Linked DNA regions of Arabidopsis thaliana. The protein of the gene in region 3 interacts with the protein of the main gene of each other region in a pairwise test. Each region holds a gene or a part of one and is shown on either strand. Other genes may lie near its edges.

The links.
Region 1: the proteins of BCB (region 3) and PGPS2 interact in a protein complementation assay, tested with the Arabidopsis thaliana proteins (one large-scale study listed by BioGRID).
Region 2: the proteins of BCB (region 3) and AGP27 interact in a protein complementation assay, tested with the Arabidopsis thaliana proteins (one large-scale study listed by BioGRID).
Region 4: the proteins of BCB (region 3) and UMAMIT44 interact in a protein complementation assay, tested with the Arabidopsis thaliana proteins (one large-scale study listed by BioGRID).

What each region holds. Positions count from the first base shown.
Region 1 is NC_003074.8:20,394,645-20,399,175, forward strand, and holds PGPS2 (phosphatidylglycerolphosphate synthase 2), read left to right. Parts: upstream 1-1,952; 5' UTR 1,953-2,215; coding exon 2,216-2,396; intron 2,397-2,704; coding exon 2,705-2,802; intron 2,803-2,882; coding exon 2,883-2,933; intron 2,934-3,031; coding exon 3,032-3,145; intron 3,146-3,232; coding exon 3,233-3,289; intron 3,290-3,379; coding exon 3,380-3,580; 3' UTR 3,581-4,009; downstream 4,010-4,531. Other genes in the region: AT3G55020 (Ypt/Rab-GAP domain of gyp1p superfamily protein), read right to left, coding at 1-69; GSTL2 (glutathione transferase lambda 2), read right to left, coding at 4,074-4,172, 4,269-4,376, 4,464-4,531. UniProt on the Arabidopsis thaliana protein: Catalyzes the committed step to the synthesis of the acidic phospholipids, including phosphatidylglycerol (PG). Together with PGPS1, required for the proper embryo development by providing PG accurate levels.
Region 2 is NC_003074.8:1,926,896-1,930,246, reverse strand, and holds AGP27 (arabinogalactan protein 27), read right to left. Parts: upstream 1,380-3,351; 5' UTR 1,272-1,379; coding exon 894-1,271; 3' UTR 563-893; downstream 1-562. Other genes in the region: MEE32 (dehydroquinate dehydratase, putative / shikimate dehydrogenase), read left to right, coding at 2,546-2,767, 3,024-3,265. UniProt on the Arabidopsis thaliana protein: Proteoglycan that seems to be implicated in diverse developmental roles such as differentiation, cell-cell recognition, embryogenesis and programmed cell death.
Region 3 is NC_003076.8:6,824,453-6,828,260, reverse strand, and holds BCB (blue-copper-binding protein), read right to left. Parts: upstream 1,897-3,808; 5' UTR 1,636-1,896; coding exon 1,464-1,635; intron 1,272-1,463; coding exon 853-1,271; 3' UTR 513-852; downstream 1-512. Other genes in the region: AT5G20220 (zinc knuckle (CCHC-type) family protein), read right to left, coding at 2,490-2,890, 3,151-3,253, 3,353-3,445, 3,531-3,663, 3,742-3,808. UniProt on the Arabidopsis thaliana protein: Probably acts as an electron carrier.
Region 4 is NC_003074.8:10,463,702-10,469,451, reverse strand, and holds UMAMIT44 (nodulin MtN21 /EamA-like transporter family protein), read right to left. Parts: upstream 4,193-5,750; 5' UTR 3,866-4,192; coding exon 3,672-3,865; exon of another isoform or gene 3,572-3,671; coding exon 3,506-3,571; exon of another isoform or gene 3,466-3,505; coding exon of another isoform or gene 3,464-3,465; intron 3,366-3,463; coding exon 3,252-3,365; intron 1,721-3,251; coding exon 1,474-1,720; intron 1,396-1,473; coding exon of another isoform or gene 1,376-1,395; coding exon 1,214-1,375; coding exon of another isoform or gene 1,199-1,213; exon of another isoform or gene 1,138-1,198; coding exon 989-1,137; intron 884-988; coding exon 748-883; 3' UTR 530-747; downstream 1-529. Other genes in the region: AT3G28120 (uncharacterized protein), read left to right, coding at 5,483-5,608.

The DNA.
Region 1 (4,531 bases), on a different chromosome or scaffold from region 3:
GGCGACGAGAGGATTAGAAGGCTTAGAAGCAGCAGCAGCAGCAGCGGCGGCGGCGGCAACGCTCCTCATTCGTTAGCGTGAAAAAGAGATCTAACCGGTGAAGAGTTGGTGAGAGGACGAAGAAGAAGATCCAAATCTCTACGCTAGTTCATCATTACCCGAATGAAGTTGAAGCAGGAGGAGGAAGTTGCAGTAGAGAGAGAGAGGAAGTGGAGAAATCACATGGAAAGGGCGAGATTGTCGACCAAGGTTTATTACATGTGTGACTCTCTCTCTCTCTCTCTCTCTCTCTCTCTCTCTCTATTTTGACTGCGTTTCGATTCCTTGACACTGAGTCCAAAAGGTCTCTTTCATCTTTCTCTCATTTTTGTATATCTTTTTTACTCCTATCTTTTTAACTACTTACTGATTTTGTATGTAAATGTGAATTTCACAGTTGTCTTCCAATATTTTGCTATGTCAATTTTATCTTCAGATAATTTGATTGAGTTAATTATCTTATTTGTAAGACCAAAATGACAATTTGATGAAAGAAAAATCATATCCTTATATCTAATTTTTGTGTGGTTGTGCGAGTCTATATCAACCTACTTTGAAAGATAGACAAAGTTGTTATTAGATATGGGATTAAGGACATCTACGTCATGTATCATCCTTATAAGATTCAGTTTAAAGTACGAACGTTATTAATTTGATGTATGTGTAACAAGCGTGAACGTATGGTTTACCATACCGTATTCAATTTGTAGCGCGACCATGGTTGGTCTTTAATTATTAACCTCAAATAGTCGAACTTCAAAAAAAAACTAAACACATTTACCAAAATCTTTGATTGATGAGATTCATTTTTAACCCTAAAAAGATAGATATGCAAGAAAATAATTGTGGGGATTGTAATGGTTGTCGATTTGTCGGTAAAGGACCAATTGCTTTAGGAGTTGGTAAAGGACTTTTCTAGGGAATTAAATATGTCTTTAATTTTTTTTTATTTTTTTTTAATAAGTTTTTCTTAGATTCGCTAAATCCATAATCTAAGTATTCACCATATTAAATTTAATCAAGTGGGAAATTTCTATCATATATTAATTAGAATTCTTATTTTAGTTACTAATTGTTTGACTCTAATAGAACTTTCATATATGTAGTTAATAGTCTCACTCTTTTTTCCTTTCAATCACACTTGGCAAACTTAAGAGAGGTTTACATAATTGTGTTAAGAGTTTTAGGTGCAAAATCAATAGAAGATGAAACAAATATGAAAATCCAGATTTGAGAAATTATGAAGAATATCCACCAATGGCTAGTTGAATATATACACAGTTATAACTTTAGTCAATTCAATGGTTTAAATATTATAATCTACTATTTCGTGTACTGTATATTTATTTACCTATATACGTACGTGTATAATTTGGAGTTTTGTTTAGGGGCTAGTAAGGAGCTTAAATTCTTGTTTCTATAATACTCTCACGTTCTCAAACACTTGTTTACAAAACCAAATATTCGTCGGTTTGGGTAAACCAACACAAATGATTATATGGTTGTTCATTATCACAATGATTATCTTCCAAATGTGCACCAAGTTTTTGTTAGTGTTTTAGATTCAATCATGGAAGTATGGAACCACAAACGTACGTAAGAGGAAGAGTGCAGCACATAATAGAAAAGAGCAATGGCCAAAGAAGGCATTACAACGAAATGAGACTTGGGATTTGACACACATCAACTCATGCAAAAGGTTGTAGGTAGCGAATGGGTGTTGAAGATTAACTATCAAAGTGATGACTCCATCGAACAATATAAGTTGAGATTAGTAGCTATATGATATATTTTTTTTGGTGGGAAGTAGCTATATGATATTGATTCATGCAAACATACAACGAAGATATTAGTTTTACATTTTTAACAAATATATAAAATCAAAATCAGCTAAGAATTAAAGAGAAGGCCCAAAACGTGCCATTTGCTTCATTATCAATCGTCCATATCAATCCAAAGTCGACGATTATCGGCGCACGTTACGCACCCGGCTCGCTTATTTTCATAGTTAGCGCACGTTAGCATCTCTCCCAAGCTGCATTATTATTGGCCGTTGTGTGACTCCCATAAAGGCTTAGGGTTCCGGATTCAGGTCGGTGTCGCCACCGCCCTTCTTCGTGCTTCTCTTCCTTCTTTGTCGGATCGTCAGGTTTACAGATCAGCTCTTGTGGAGGATATGGGTGAAGAAGACACCGCGACGGTGGATCAGAACAGTTTCGGTGGTGGCAAAGATTCATTGCTTCGTAATCGTCATTCGTCGCCATTGCCTTCACCGACACAGCTTTCTTCTAAAGTGATTACATTGCCTACCGTATTAACCCTTGGCCGTGTAGCTGCCGTTCCGATTCTCGTCGCCAGTAAGTTTACTTTTTTCGACTCTGAATTCTGGTTGGAGTCATTGTACTTGTTCGGTGTGTGATAGGAGTCTAATCATCAGATCTAAACGAAGATGCAATTGCGATTTTTCCAGATCAGAGTTTTGTTGGTTTGAATTCGAGAAATTCGACAACTTTTTTGAAATTGAGCTTATTGCTATGTGTACTTCACTTGTTACCACTCTTCAAATTTAATCTGAATTGGATCTTTTGATGTTCAATTCCTGATTTTGATTGTTTTATCTCCCATTGCATTATCTTCATCATCTCCTTTGGTTTTTGAAATGTAGCCTTTTACGTTGATTGCTGGTGGGGAAGAACTGCTACGACAAGTATTTTCATTGCAGCAGCCATTACAGATTGGCTTGATGGATATATTGCACGGAAGGTAACTTCTTTCTTTACCCTTTCATGTTCTTCTGCATAGTTGAAATTGTAAGCTTTTAACAGTGAGACGTGCCTTTTCAGATGAGATTGGGTTCTGAATTTGGTGCATTTTTGGATCCAGTGGCAGATAAGGTCAGATACCTTCTTCCTTAGCTACCTCTATCCTCTTTATCTTTTCTCCACCAGAAAGGAATGATTTTTATCATTCTGATTTATGTCATTGGTATGCGCTTATGGTAGCAGCTACATTGATATTGTTGTGCACTAAACCAATGGTCGCCGTTGTCTTAGGACCAGTTCCATGGTTAGTGACAGTACCTTCAATCGCCATCATTGGTAGAGAGGTAAGATACAGAATTCTGATATACCGTTAAGTAAGTTTCACTTATCAGCTTTCTGTTCTAAACTAGTCGGTATACTTTTCACTGTAGATTACTATGTCTGCAGTAAGAGAATGGGCTGCATCTCAAAACGGCAAGCTTTCAGAGGTAAAGTTATCACCATCATGTGCGTTCTCTTGGATCTGTTTTCGTAAGTGTTCCTTTCCTAATCCATGGAAATGGCATTGATGTTGCTAGGCTGTTGCTGTAAATAGCTTGGGAAAGTGGAAAACTGCAACGCAGATGATAGCGCTAACCATACTTCTTGCAAGCCGGGATAGCAGTTTTGAGAGACTATTACCGTCGGGTATTGGGTTGCTCTATGTATCTGCAGGGCTCTCTATATGGTCTTTAGTTGTTTATATGAGGAAGATATGGAGAGTACTGCTAAAGAAGTAGCAACAAAAAACTCTTTTTTCGGGCTTTTTGCATTCAGTATATACACATAGAATGGAAGATTTACCTCTCTTCTTCTTGAAGAAAGCTGACTAATTTCTCTCTGGATACAAATGAAATTAGTTGGGCAAGCACTATAAGACTCTTATATGATGCTTTAGTTCTGTTTTCAACTTTGGGCACTGGGGTCGTACTCTACTTGGTTTGGTTTTGTATAATATCTCTGAATCACATTGCTCCGGCTAGCACCGAATTTTAATGAAGCAGCAAGCACGATCTTATGGGCAATGATGGAAAAGCAGCAGGCGCAATTTCGTTCTAGTCGAAGACTTGGTCTCATGAATTCTGATATAAATGAAAACAATTGTTGCATGTCATGTAGATGCTTTTACCGATACAATATAATTTATATATATAAAAAACTTTGGTTACAATATCTCTTCCCATTTGATCCTTCTAAACCCTTGTAAATGGAGATATCCGGAGAACCATCTGGTTAGAGACGTGCTTCTGCTTGGACTCGTCTCTTGTATCTTTCAACAAGCTCTTGTGGATCTTGACGGGTTTCGGTGTAAGCTTCGATTTTGTTCATCTCCTGCATAAAAGCAAAGAACCAGAGATTAGCATGTGTATGGGGAATATTTAGCCTTAGAATGAAAGGTAGTTACAAATGTCTAGGTAATAGCTTAACCTGAATCCAAAGGGCAAGGTTAGGCCGACCAGATGTAATATCGACGTTCATCACATCACTTAAGATAAGCCGAAATCTCTCTATGAAAGGAGCATATGCAACATCAACCTATAGAAATAAACACCATTTTTTTTCTCAGCAGCAAGAGTTGATATGGGTATGGCAAATTGAATATAGAAATATAATCGACAATACCAAACTAAATTGACCAAGAAAGAAAGGCCCTTCATTGAATTTGGAAAGAGCCTGCTCGATGTAATCAA
Region 2 (3,351 bases), on a different chromosome or scaffold from region 3:
ACGCATAAAACCCTATAATGTGAAAACAAGAAACGTCCTTTACATATTTCTTCTCACCTAGATATTATTAATTTTAATATTGAGACTTTGAAACCCCAGAAATAAGATAAAGTGTGGGACAAGAAAAGAAGGCACCTTTTTTTGTTGTTGCTTTTAGCCGTGAGGCCAGCATATGCAGTAACTCACATGCATGCGCCTCTAACCTTGTGGCATTTTAGGAATTATGCAATAATGCACTATACTTAAATACGTTAATTCACAAAGTAATACATTCATTCAGTTCATAAACACGTCTCAAGATTAAGACAAAAATAATCATAAAAAACTGGTGTTTTACATAAACTTATGTCGAAATTAATTAGTAGTCTACATATAATTACTCAAGTGTTATTTGCATGTAAACAGTACAAATTTTTGGAACGTTTGATTTTGATACTACTATAAACTGCAGTATACTGTAAAGCATGCATATGACGTCACTTTAATTTGAAACGTAATTTCAACTTTTTCAAAAGGTTCTTTAGCTTAGCGATAAAAAAAAAAAAAAAAGTTAGTGTATAGTAAACGAACAAATGAAATGAAAAGAAGAGAAAAGTATAAGTCCTCAAAGTGTATTGAATCACTTAACGGTAAATTAGTTTTTATTTTTATTTTTATCCAGAGTTCTTAAGTTAATTATGCATCAATTATGTGGTTCTGACGTAATATATTACTTGCGTTTTTCATCTAAACCAATCTAAAACTGTAACAAAATGTTAAGTGGAGAACAATAAAAAATACAAATAGTAAAAAAAAATTGAAAATCAAACTAAATCTAATTTTATTCGTTATTTTTAGGGGACAAATAAACTCATGAAAATAATGACGTACGTGGTCTAAAATATATGAATGACCTATATAGCTGAAACGGCAAGAAGCCGGAGCGAGAAACAATAGACGGCGGCGAAGACAAAGTAGATGAAAACTCCGGGAGCTTGAGAAGACAGAGAAGCAAGAGATGAAGCCGGAGGAGAAGCCGATGGAGCGAAGGCGGGATCAGGATCTGCGGAAACGTCGTCGTTTTCTGGTTCAGGAAGTGTTGAAGAAGAAGGGATGGTTTGAGTGGAGGAGACGGCGGGTGAAGGGAGGAGAGGAGCGATCTCCGGTGAGATCTTTTCTTCAGAGGGAGAGATTGTTTGCGAAGATGGGATTGTATTTGTCGTCGGCGAAGAGAGAGAAAGTGAGGAGAGAAAGATGAAGGTGATGAGTGTTAGCAATATAGATGAAGCCATCTTTTTTGGTTACTGTAATGATGAACAAATCAAAGCTGAGTTGTTTTTTTCCTTAACTGATGAGAGCGCATTTTGTGTTGTAATAATGATACTGTCTCTATAAAAGAAAACTTTTAGCTCTAATAGTAAAATATTATAAATTGATTTTAAATGGAATTTGTCTCACCTTTTTCCAAAAAGATTATTATTTATCAATTTAAAGGATGTGTTCGGTGGAAAAGAAAATATATTTGCTGAATTCTTGAAGATGGGCGTAGATCGAGTTTTCACTTTTTAGTAGAAGCTCTTATATATTGCACATATTTTCGAATAAACATGTGCTTTACTTTTTGCTGAAAAATATTATGTTAATGCAAATTATACATATTGCTAAGTACGAGTAAAGGCATCTCCATCCATGAGAAACCTACAAAGTTTCTAAAACAAAAAAAATATTAATATTATATTATAATTTAATTATTTGATTAAAAAAGTAATTTTGTTAAAAAATTGAATCAATAGTGAGATGAGAATTGTCATGATGGGTTGTAGAGAATATCTCAAAATTTTTCAAGTGAGAAACTTTCTACATTTTCTCTCCTTCATTTTCATTATTTTTATTTTTTTAATTGTGAAAAACTCTTATGAAATACCTTCAATGGAGATGGTCTAATTACGTTTGTTGTTGCCTCGTTGGATGTTCAAATAAAAAGCACATTTTATATTGGGTTGTTCCTAAACAAATATTTTGTTGTCTTTTGTACTAAAGTTTATTGGCGAGTTAAGAAAAGCTTTGTGGTGTGTGGGAATTATTATTATTATTTATTATTTATTGTTCTTTAGTTTGCTATGCAATTCGAGCCCACTAAAGAGGCTTCCTATGGGCCCAAAAAACGCAGCCCACTATTGTAGTGCAAAACGTGCTGAGTTTTCTACATTGCATGCCCAACAATGGCCACCAGTGTAGTTAAAGACTCAAGAACTTGCTGACCTCTATTTGTTTGACTTTCTTTTTTGTGTGAACAAAATCACATATTGTTGATGTCATTTGTTCTGCTATAATTCTTAACTTCAGATTACAGATAACGAATTTTCTCTTGATGATTTAAACAAACATATATAATTGTCAATATCAGAAAATGAAAAGGAGATATAAATAATTTTTTTTTGCGCCTAATCGAAACTTCACCTACCATTTTTTAGCGTATAAAAACGTTAAAAATACCAAAATTTAGAAATCCAATAAAAGTTGTGAAAAAAAGCCGCAAAGGGTCGTTGTTGTTTGTCGCCTCTCAATGGCAGCTTCTTCAACTAATGCTCGTCTCACCAACCCTCCTCGTCTACTCTCCAAACCCCGACTTTCACCTACCTCCGTCGCCAATCTCCGTTTTCCAGCCGCCGATTTCTCCACTCGCTTCTTTGCCGATTCTTCGTCCCCGCGGCTAAGGAGTGTACCGTTTCCGGTGGTATTTTCCGATCAAAGGCGCCGGCGAAGCATGGAACCTAGCAATGTCTATGTTAGTGATTCTTCCTTTAGTTCAGTTTTCTTTTGTTGTTTTCTGTTCCGTTTTTATTGGAGAAGGATAGGTAATGATGAATTTGCAGATTTATCGCTTCAAATAAATTTGGTATTAGTTTTGGATGAAGACTTTGATGTTTCGTGTACAACATTGGTTTAGCTATTTAGAATCGATCTTCAGAATTTTTGTTTAGTTCTGAGAAGTAGTTGGATTTTTAATTGATTGTGGAATTTATCCTGTTTTGTGATCTCAGGTGGCTTCAAATTCCACGGAAATGGAGATCGGAAGTCATGATATCGTGAAGAATCCGAGCTTGATCTGTGCTCCAGTGATGGCGGATTCAATAGACAAGATGGTGATTGAAACGAGTAAAGCCCATGAATTGGGTGCAGACTTGGTTGAAATTCGATTAGATTGGCTAAAGGACTTCAATCCTCTTGAGGATCTAAAAACCATTATTAAGAAATCTCCTCTACCCACTTTATTCACCTACAGGTTTGTGTGTTCAAGCTTGAGACTTTTTAAATGTTTGATATCGAACTTCTTGTGCTTTATTGTGTCGAGCTTTCAATAAGTTACGA
Region 3 (3,808 bases):
CTTATCGAATATCGTAGCTACACTAAAAAATCAAACATATTAAATTATTGAAAGTTGAAGATATCACATTGACAAATGAAGTAAATAAAATAAAGTTAAATTCAGATGGTTTAGAAAAAGGAAAAAAAAAAAAGAAAAAGGAGCAGTGTAATTACCAAAGACCTTGGTATAACCATTAGACTTTATCATGCTTACATTGTTATGGGGAAAATGTCTTTGGTTGTTGAAAACAAAACAAGTTTATGGTTTTCTTGATTCACGTCGATCAGACACGTGTCAATTTATTGTGGAATTTTGTGGTCTTATGTTTTGTACTTAGTACGGGCATACTTTTTGGCATTTTCTCGATTATCAAACTATAAAGCCAGAGATTAAAAATCTCCACACACAAAAAAAAAAAAAAAAAAAAAAAAAAGTTGTGAATTCAGGTGAGAAACGTATCCACTGAAACAAAAATACCATATTGTTGGTATATTGAATTAGTAGATAACCTATGTCTTTTTAATATTATTCTAACTTCGGTTCACAATCAGGTAATGTTTACTCGTTGATTGAAAATATTGAGAAGGCAAATTTTGTCTAATTATACATGAAAACTAGACAAATTGGATGAAGAAGATGACTAATTTTCATGAAATATGGTAATATATAGTAGTAATCTCAATGATATTGAAACCCACTCTTTATTTTGCAACCGAATAATCATATATTGAAACTCAATACTAATCACAAGTATAAGACGTTTATAATGACTTGAAAACAAGTCCTTATTCTCACAAATAATCAAATACATGACTATTTAAATAAGGAGAGTAAGGTAAAACAAATACATAACTAGGTTTCGAGTGTGACTCAAAAGAGAGCAACAACAGCAGAAACAAAAGCGACCAGAAAAGTAGCACCACCTAATGAGGAAGCGGCATTTCCAGCTGGAGTAGTGGTTCCGCTAGAGCCTGAAGGTGTTGTGGTCCCACCCGCAGTGGGAGGAGTGGTTCCTCCAGTACTTGGGGTTGATCCAGGTGCTGGGGTAGCACCGGCACCAGGAGTAGCACCTCCAGTTGCACCAGCAGCAACTACAGTGATGGAAAGTTTTTGACCAAAACGACAATGGTCACCGACGGTGCAGATAAAGTATTGTGGTCCAGTGGTGTTTAGCATAATTTTGACCGGAGGAACGGTCATGTGGCTAATGGGTTTCTCTTTCTCACAGTTTTCAAATGCAGCTTCTGATACAACTGCCACATCATGCCTCCCAGCAGCGAAATCAAATTCTGTAATAAGAATATCAACATCAGTCGGTGGAAACTCAATTAATCCCTTTTTTAGCTAAAATATGTTCATAAGAATATAGAAAGAAAGACAGAACAACACCGACATGATCCATGCACGATCCCATAACTATGACTGTTATAAGAACAAGAAAAACAAAGACATATTTCAGCTATAAGAACAATAAAACTCACCGAGCTCGTCGCCTACACGGAAAGTTTTACCGGTAGCCCAAGTAGTATAGAACTCGGGGTCCATAGGTCTCGTCCATTCCGTATCATCACCAACATCGTAGTCCTCCGCGAAGACAACAACGGCAGCGAAAACCAAAACAAGAAACGTAACCGTTTTGAAAACTCCGGCCATTATGTTATGTGTTGAAGAACTCAGGTCACCCCCTTTTCTTTTCTTGGTCGAGAACTATATATGTCGTCTCTTAAAAGATAGTAAATGACCCCTTTTGATTTTTGTGTTTGTTGTGGTTTCAAAAGTCTTGCAAGAGAGACTTATATTTATAGGACAATTAAAGAGAGGCTCTCAAGGAGTCATACGCAAGATACGGGAAGACGCGTTACGTGTTGTGTCGTTGAACAAATCCAAATTTAGATATTATCACTTGTGGTCAATTTTGTCTGCTAAGTTTTTTTTGTCCACAATTGTTATTTTTAGCGCGTAAAGACATTGTACATTTGTAAATTTAGATCAAGTAAAAAACGTGACTAATTACTTTTTGGGTAATGATTATAAAATTTAGTGTTCAGACTAAATATAACTACCTAATAATAACCATCCGATATTAAGGCATCGAAGAATAGTAGCATACTAATGTTAGAAAAAACAAAGTGTTAAATGTGGATATGGATGAGATATTAGGTGTTTATAGCATTTATATGGATAAGTCGATAATTGTTCAGAAATTTCTAGGCTCGATTGTCTTTCTTTGCATGGGTCCGTTGTACCAATTCAGGTCGTATTCAAGAAAAATCAACCCAACAAGTATATATACTTGCACGTAAACGAATGCGGTCATAACCCGAAACCAAAAGCGGTCAAACTCACTTCAGTTTTTGTTTGAGTTTAGATAGTTCAAAAAAGACCAATCGGGACTCAAGTGATTGGTCCGATTATAAACCCGAAATATCCATCCGCTAAAAAGGACTTGTCAGTGATTGGTTATTTCAGCTTCAATAGCAAAACCAAGCCTAACCAAATAAACAGGTTCAAGAACCTTCTTGCTCTAAACAAGAATCACTGTCTGAAACTTGTTTACTTGGACAGGTTCTTACATTATGTCCCATTTTCTTGCAGAACCCACAAGCATACGTTATTTTACCAACACCATCTTCCCCGGAATTTTCACCACTGCAACTAGGATTCACTCCGGTCGGCTTCCGGCATGTTCTGCTGTTGTGACCTCTCTCACCGCATATTCCACATTTGTGATACCTAGTGGAAATGCCTTTAGTGACTATTGATTTCGACTTAGGACAAGTTCTACGGTTGTGGCCTTTCCCGCCGCAACCCCGACATCTAAATTTTCTGTCCGCATTAGTGCCTAGTTCTGGACAGTAATGGCGTCTATGGCCTTCCTGTCCACAGTTCTTGCAGTAAAACTTAGTTCCTGAATCAATGAGAGAAAAATGGTTCTTTTACCATTTCATAGCTTGCACATGGAACTGTCACCACAAAAGGAAATCAAATCGAAACCTACATTTCTACACTTCGAATCAACATTATATCTCAACTTTAAGTGACAAGCCTCAACCTAATTCATCACAGTGATCTCACATTATTGGAGAATGTAAACAGATAAAGCTCAAGAAACAAAAGAGTACTACATGGACCTAAACTCTGAAATTCTACCAAGAAACTGAGACTTACCTTTCATAGATAGGCTTCTCTGTTCACGGTTTACAGGGTTACTGAAGAAAGCTTTCATAGATTCGGATGCATGCTTTCTAGCAGCTGGTGTTCCTTTAGCTTTCTAGAACACAACAACACTAAGCAGATTCAAGGGAAAAAAACAACAAAACTTGTTCCATGTTAATTTAGGATATAAAACAAAATGGAGTAGATTACAGACCTTAATTGCAGCTACTCTTTGAGCATGAAGCACTGGATCACGATGTATAATCTTCATGCGCTTACTAAAAAGTCCAGTTTTGGCATTGAGACTCTATAAAAACCATAATTTGGACTGACTATGACAATTTCCCATGGAGAGAGTAGAATAACATGAAGTGTATATGAATGAAACTAACTTTTAGAGATCGGCTGATCTTTTGTCCAACTTCAGGAGTTGGTGACTGATAAATCCGCTTCGATTTTCGCCTTTTACTGAACTTTATCTCTAAATTATCAACCTCATCATCCTCCTTTACTCTAAATGGAGAACTGTGGCAGAAAAAAATGAGGTTTATTAGTCAAACATTAAACAGAATTAAGACTTCAACTCTTGAATAACAACACTACCTGGATCTAGCTTTCTCCCAAGGTCGTTCATCGATTGATTCTTCCCATATGACACAATCCCCCAAAC
Region 4 (5,750 bases), on a different chromosome or scaffold from region 3:
TATCAAAATATGTTAGTTTTACAAAAGACCCTAAAATCTACCATCTACAAAAAATTAAATTCATTTTAATTATAAAGTCTAATATGTCATTAAATCGAGTTATATATTAGTTTATATATGAATTTATAAATTAATTTAAATTTTACAATTAAACAAAATTAAATTTCAGTTCGAATTTATAAAAAAAAACAGTTTGCGTTTATGTTTTACAACATAAAGAAATTAAATATCGGTTCGAATTTATACAAAAATATTAAAATTTGATTTTATAGTTAAACGAGATTATTTATTAATTTAATATTTTGTAATTTTGTCTTGTTGATAATTTTTTTTTTTTTTTTCACATGATAATATTGTCTCCCGCAGTCAAATTATTAGGTTTTTCCCTGTGATATGAGTATTCGCTTTCTAAAGATGATATCATGATTAGCCTTTGTAAACATTTCTCTTCATGGGGAGAGGTCACTGATATTATGATTCTTGATGAAGGTAGCGACAGGTTTGTCGCTTCTTCTTCCTCCAATTTTCCCAACTCTCTCAATCTATTTTCATATTATTCAAAAACATTTGTCCGTAACATGTGTTCAAAAATGAGTAACAAAATATATTGTTCAATGTTCAGTTACAAAGCTATATAGAACATTTTATTGTTACTAATAGAGTGCTCCTAATCTCGATCAACACAAACACATTCTACAAAGAGCTAATCATATTAATTAAATCATCGTTTCCAATATTCTTGTAAATCTATATTCGGTCGTCTATGTTTTCGTCTAGAAGAGGAGTTTCCTCTGACAGCGACAAGAACTGAGTCTTCCCTTCTTTTGCTTTTCCCCACATCACAGTGTAAAACCCTAACGATATCAAAATCCCTCCGACCAAACTGCAACATTAACCACATAACAAGAAACCATTAGATTAGATGTGTGGTTTTTCTTGTTTCACAAACAAGTGTGTCTGAAGATTATTGATTCATATATACATATACCTTCCTAGGTAAAAAGAATCTCCAAGAAAAATCGCTCCCATAATCACTGCTATTAAAATCGATAAAGGTCTGAATATAGCTAAGTAAACAGGTCCTTTATTACGTACTGCCCACAGATGAATCGCGTAATATCCTGGATTAAATATTCCCTGCGAAAAATAGCTATAGTATTGAAAAGAAGTTTAAGATATAATTAAGTTTTCTAAAATATTAAAATTTACGTACCCCAACAACTATGCAAACTAATGTAATGTCAAAATGAATGATCCATATGCTCGGATTGTTCTTTTCTGCTACGATTCCGATCAATGACGTCAAGATTGAAGCAATCAGAAAATAGAAGAAAGAGACCGTGAATGGTGCTGGATATAACTTCATTATATGTGCCTGTCCAATTCAATATTAATCTACTATAAGGAAAATTTAGTTTATGTACATGCAAGTATGTATGATGTATCAAGTTAAGAGAATTAATATGTTATTACTTGAAGAATAAAAGCAACAGGAACGAGGGTGTCTTTGATGGCTAAAAGACAACCACCGATGATCCAATCCGAGTTTGAGGATGATAACGGCAAAAGAAGCTGACGGAGTTGTGGAAATGGTGGAGAAGATGGGGTGAAGACTCGTGGACCATGGTAGAGAACTACCACAAGTGCGCCAACTAGTGAAACTATTGTCCCAACCATTTTGGCTACACTACTCTTTTCTTTGAAAGATGCTTTCTCCATTCTATTTTTTTGTTTCACAAATAGAAAACATGATAAATATTTAAATGATCAAATATTTTGCTAAATGGAAAAAGCAATTCATTTTAATCATACAAATGAAAATTTTCAAAATTGCTATCACCTATGAAATTTGTAATAAAACTTGACACAGTAATAAATAAAAATAATTTTAAAAATGTAGTTATTTCCACTTCTCTTAAACAAATATATATTTAATACATTAAAGAATAATAGAAACTCACAAACTTTTTTTTTTAATCATCCCAAAAGATGTTTTGAGACATTGTGTTTTTGTGGTTCGGTTCTCAGAATAGCCCCATTAAAAAAAATTGTGGTGGATTTATTGTGTACTCTAAATTAAGAGGAAAGATTTGGTATTTCTGGATTTTTAGTTGTCTTTCCGGGTTTCGCACCTAAAATTATATGGTAGGCTTTCACTCTCTCGAGTTTTGTTTTTGTACTTAAATTTTAAATAATTAAAAATGAAAAGGATTAGGTTTTACAAAAATGTATAACTACAAAACTGGGATTTTTGTGGTTTGTTTTGTTCTAGTTTCTCCAAGAACCGATAAACATTGTGACTACTACTTAAATCAATAATACTGTATAATAAATAAGGGTACCATATATATGTGCTCTAGCCTCCATGTTCCTATATGTTCAAGATTATAATGTGTTTCGGGGCTCATATGGCCTCCTCTGTATCTCACAAAAGAAACGACTTAGTTAGGCATTTTTTGAAAATGCGATTATTATAAAGTTCAAAACTTAAATTTAAGTTTTGATTTATTTTTTGAAAATGGATCCGCAAAATTTAAATATTGTTCTGTAAGTAGTTAAAATCGGTTCAAAACTTCCAAACTGATCAATTTCAGGAAAAAAACAAACCTCAAACTTTCTTTTGATCATACCAAACCTTCTTCTGATAAATAAAAATTCTGAAATTCTTTATACATCAAATTGATTAAAATCAAAGTAAAATATTAGTGTTACAAAAACCTAAAAAATTGTTTTTATTTAGAACATCACAAATAGGACCTGATGTTACATTATAGCTAATGTCCATTTTAAAAATATGAACCTGACTAACATGTGCCACACAATTATTCCTGTCATTTTTTTTGTCGTTATTTATTCCTGTCATTTTCCTGAACCTGATGTAGATCTAACAATATATAATTAAACTTTGAAAAACTGCTATCGAAATTCTGAATTTAATTATTAAACATGTAAATTAAGTACAAAATTTATTTATTTATTTTACAAACTGATGATTCAAGTGTCTTATCTGTGTTAATCTACAAAACAGCTCACCTTTATTAAATAATCATATCTGTGTTATCTGAATTAATATTCTCTTTATAAAACTAACCCAAAAAATCATGGATTAAATACTAATTAACAATTAAATACTTATTAACGAGAAACAAAAGTTTTTATATTTTTTTTTGTTAATAGGTAGAAAATTTCTGACGTTACTAATTAACAATTCATAATTGTAAGAAAAAAAGGTAAATGGATTAAAATAAAACCTGAAGATAATGGCAAGGATGAAGGTAATGGCAGGATTGATATTGCTAATGGCTGAAGCTAAGGTTGGGTTGCTGTATTCGATGCCTATGAATCCTGTGATCAGATACGTTGACCTGTTCATTTATATTCACATTTAGCAAAAAGTAAAGTATATTAGAAACATTTTCAGGTTAATAAAAATTTCTTTACCAACAATTAGGAAAATAATTACATTCAAAAGTTGAAGAAGAACAAGAAGTGTAGTTGGCTTTACCCTAGCAGCCCAAGAACTCCAATTTTACAGAGAATTGAAAGACTTAGTGAAGGAAGTGATCTTGACCTGCAAAAGAATGCACAAGTAATCAAATGAAAACTTTTGACAAAACAAGAATCAATCAAACAGGGTTTATTAACTAACAAAAAGATTGTTATTTAGAAACCTATAAGAGAAGATGTGAGAAGGAAGAAGAACAATAGAGCCAATGAGATAAGAATAGATGAGGAAGGTATAAGAATTAAGGCCTTTTGAAGTCGCTGCTTTAAACAAAGTATTCATAGCCACATTTCCGGTTTCAGTCGCCAACATGGCCGTCAATAACACGGCGTCTCTCCGACGGAGAGTAATGGAGGCCATTGTCGGCAAGTCAAAAGATATAAAGCTTAGTGTGTGGAATGACTCATGATAAAAATCCAGGAGAGTATTTTGTATATCTTGTGACCAAAATGATGATTAAGTCTCAAAAATAATTGAAATTTTGGTGGGCCATTCTATCATTTGGTCTCTCCTTGTTATACGTGAAATGATAATTTGGATATTTAAATTTGCCTATGCTTATTGGACTTTCTCAAGTGTGGTTTTTCTTTTAACTCTCTTGGAATTGAGAAGTCGTGTTCACAAATTCCGACCAAATGGCCAAAGATTTTATCAATTATAAAACCTCGAGTGTTTTTGTAACGCTTGAAGATGGACAAACTCTTAAACAAAGCGTTCCTCACAAATACACAATGGATTAAAAAAAAAAAATGAGAGAGATACAGAAACTGTTCTCAAACAAGAGACATATAATGTCAACTTTTATTTTCTATATAATAAGTTAAAGGTCATATCTATAAATATTTACTAAAGAAAATTTCACCGTTAACACTTTTCTCAGTTTTTTTTTCACGAAGAGGTAAAGTGGATTGAGCCAACCAGCTTTTAGCCACTTGGGCTTAATTGGACGAATCTGCCCTGGAACGAGAAATGAAAGAAAACTGTTCAGTTTCGTTCCTTTGTATTCTGGTTACGGAAATAATTTTAAATCTTTAAAATTAAATAAATAAAAATGTAAATAATTTTAAAACTTAAAATAAAATCAAAAACTGTCTTCGAGAAACGCAGAACAGTTTCGACGAACTCCGTATTCGAAGACGCATAAAAATTCCGACAAAACTTAAACCCAATTCCGATTGAGGCTCTGTTCGAGTTCGAGTCTTTGCTTGAGTGGAGAAAATTTCGATCGAGTTCGTTTTAAAGTGTCTAACAAAAAGAGGATTTTCTGGTTATCATACTAAAATGGCAGAGATGAAGAAGAGTAGTCGGCGGCGAGGAGTTTCGGAAGTTAATGTATCATCGTCGGCGACGACAATTATGGGTAAGGGTAAGAGGTTGAAGAAGAGTGCAAAATTAAAATTGCAGAGGTTGAAGAAGAGTGCAAAATTAGGGTTGCAGAGGTTGAAGACGAATGCAAAATTATAATTATACCCTTCAATAAATTTCTTATGTGTACGTATATGTAATTTACGGTGTACGTACATGTGGACATGTAAATATAATAGATTATGTTTTATTGTTAAAGCGGTATACACAATTATATATTGAGTTTGTACATTATAAATCTTTGTTTTTTTTTTTTGTTTTTTTTTTGTCAACCGATATTAATATAGACTCAAACGAGCCAATCCCGAGAGATATTGTTTACATATGTGACATGGTACGGCTTTGGTTATTTTGATTAGATGAGATATTTCCGGAGTTTTCTCCATAAAATCTATGCATATATAATAATTAAGTAAAAATATATAGTCAAAGTATAGATATTCTTAATACTTTTGAAAAATGATGTACGTACATCTTTTCATGAGTTAAAATTGTTGAGATATATTTATTGATACAATAATAAACCAATATTGACGATGGTGAGGGTATATTCTACTATAGTCCTACTAGAGATGAAGACATTGTTATTTACAATATTGACGAATTTTTGTAATGTTTGGTATCTACGATGGTGCATACGGCGAGTTAGCCAAATGTTATGTATTTAGTACGATATATATGATATTTTTTGTTTTGATGTTGTTGTTTCTATTTAATTGTTATTTTGACATTCTTTAGTAAGCGTTATGTTATACGATATTATTTGTTGAGAATAGGTAAGATTTAAAACTAAACCCGTAGACGTACACGATAATATTGAGATACACGTACACGTGTATGACCTCTCCAAACATTTATATCCTAAGAATGCCTAAATCAC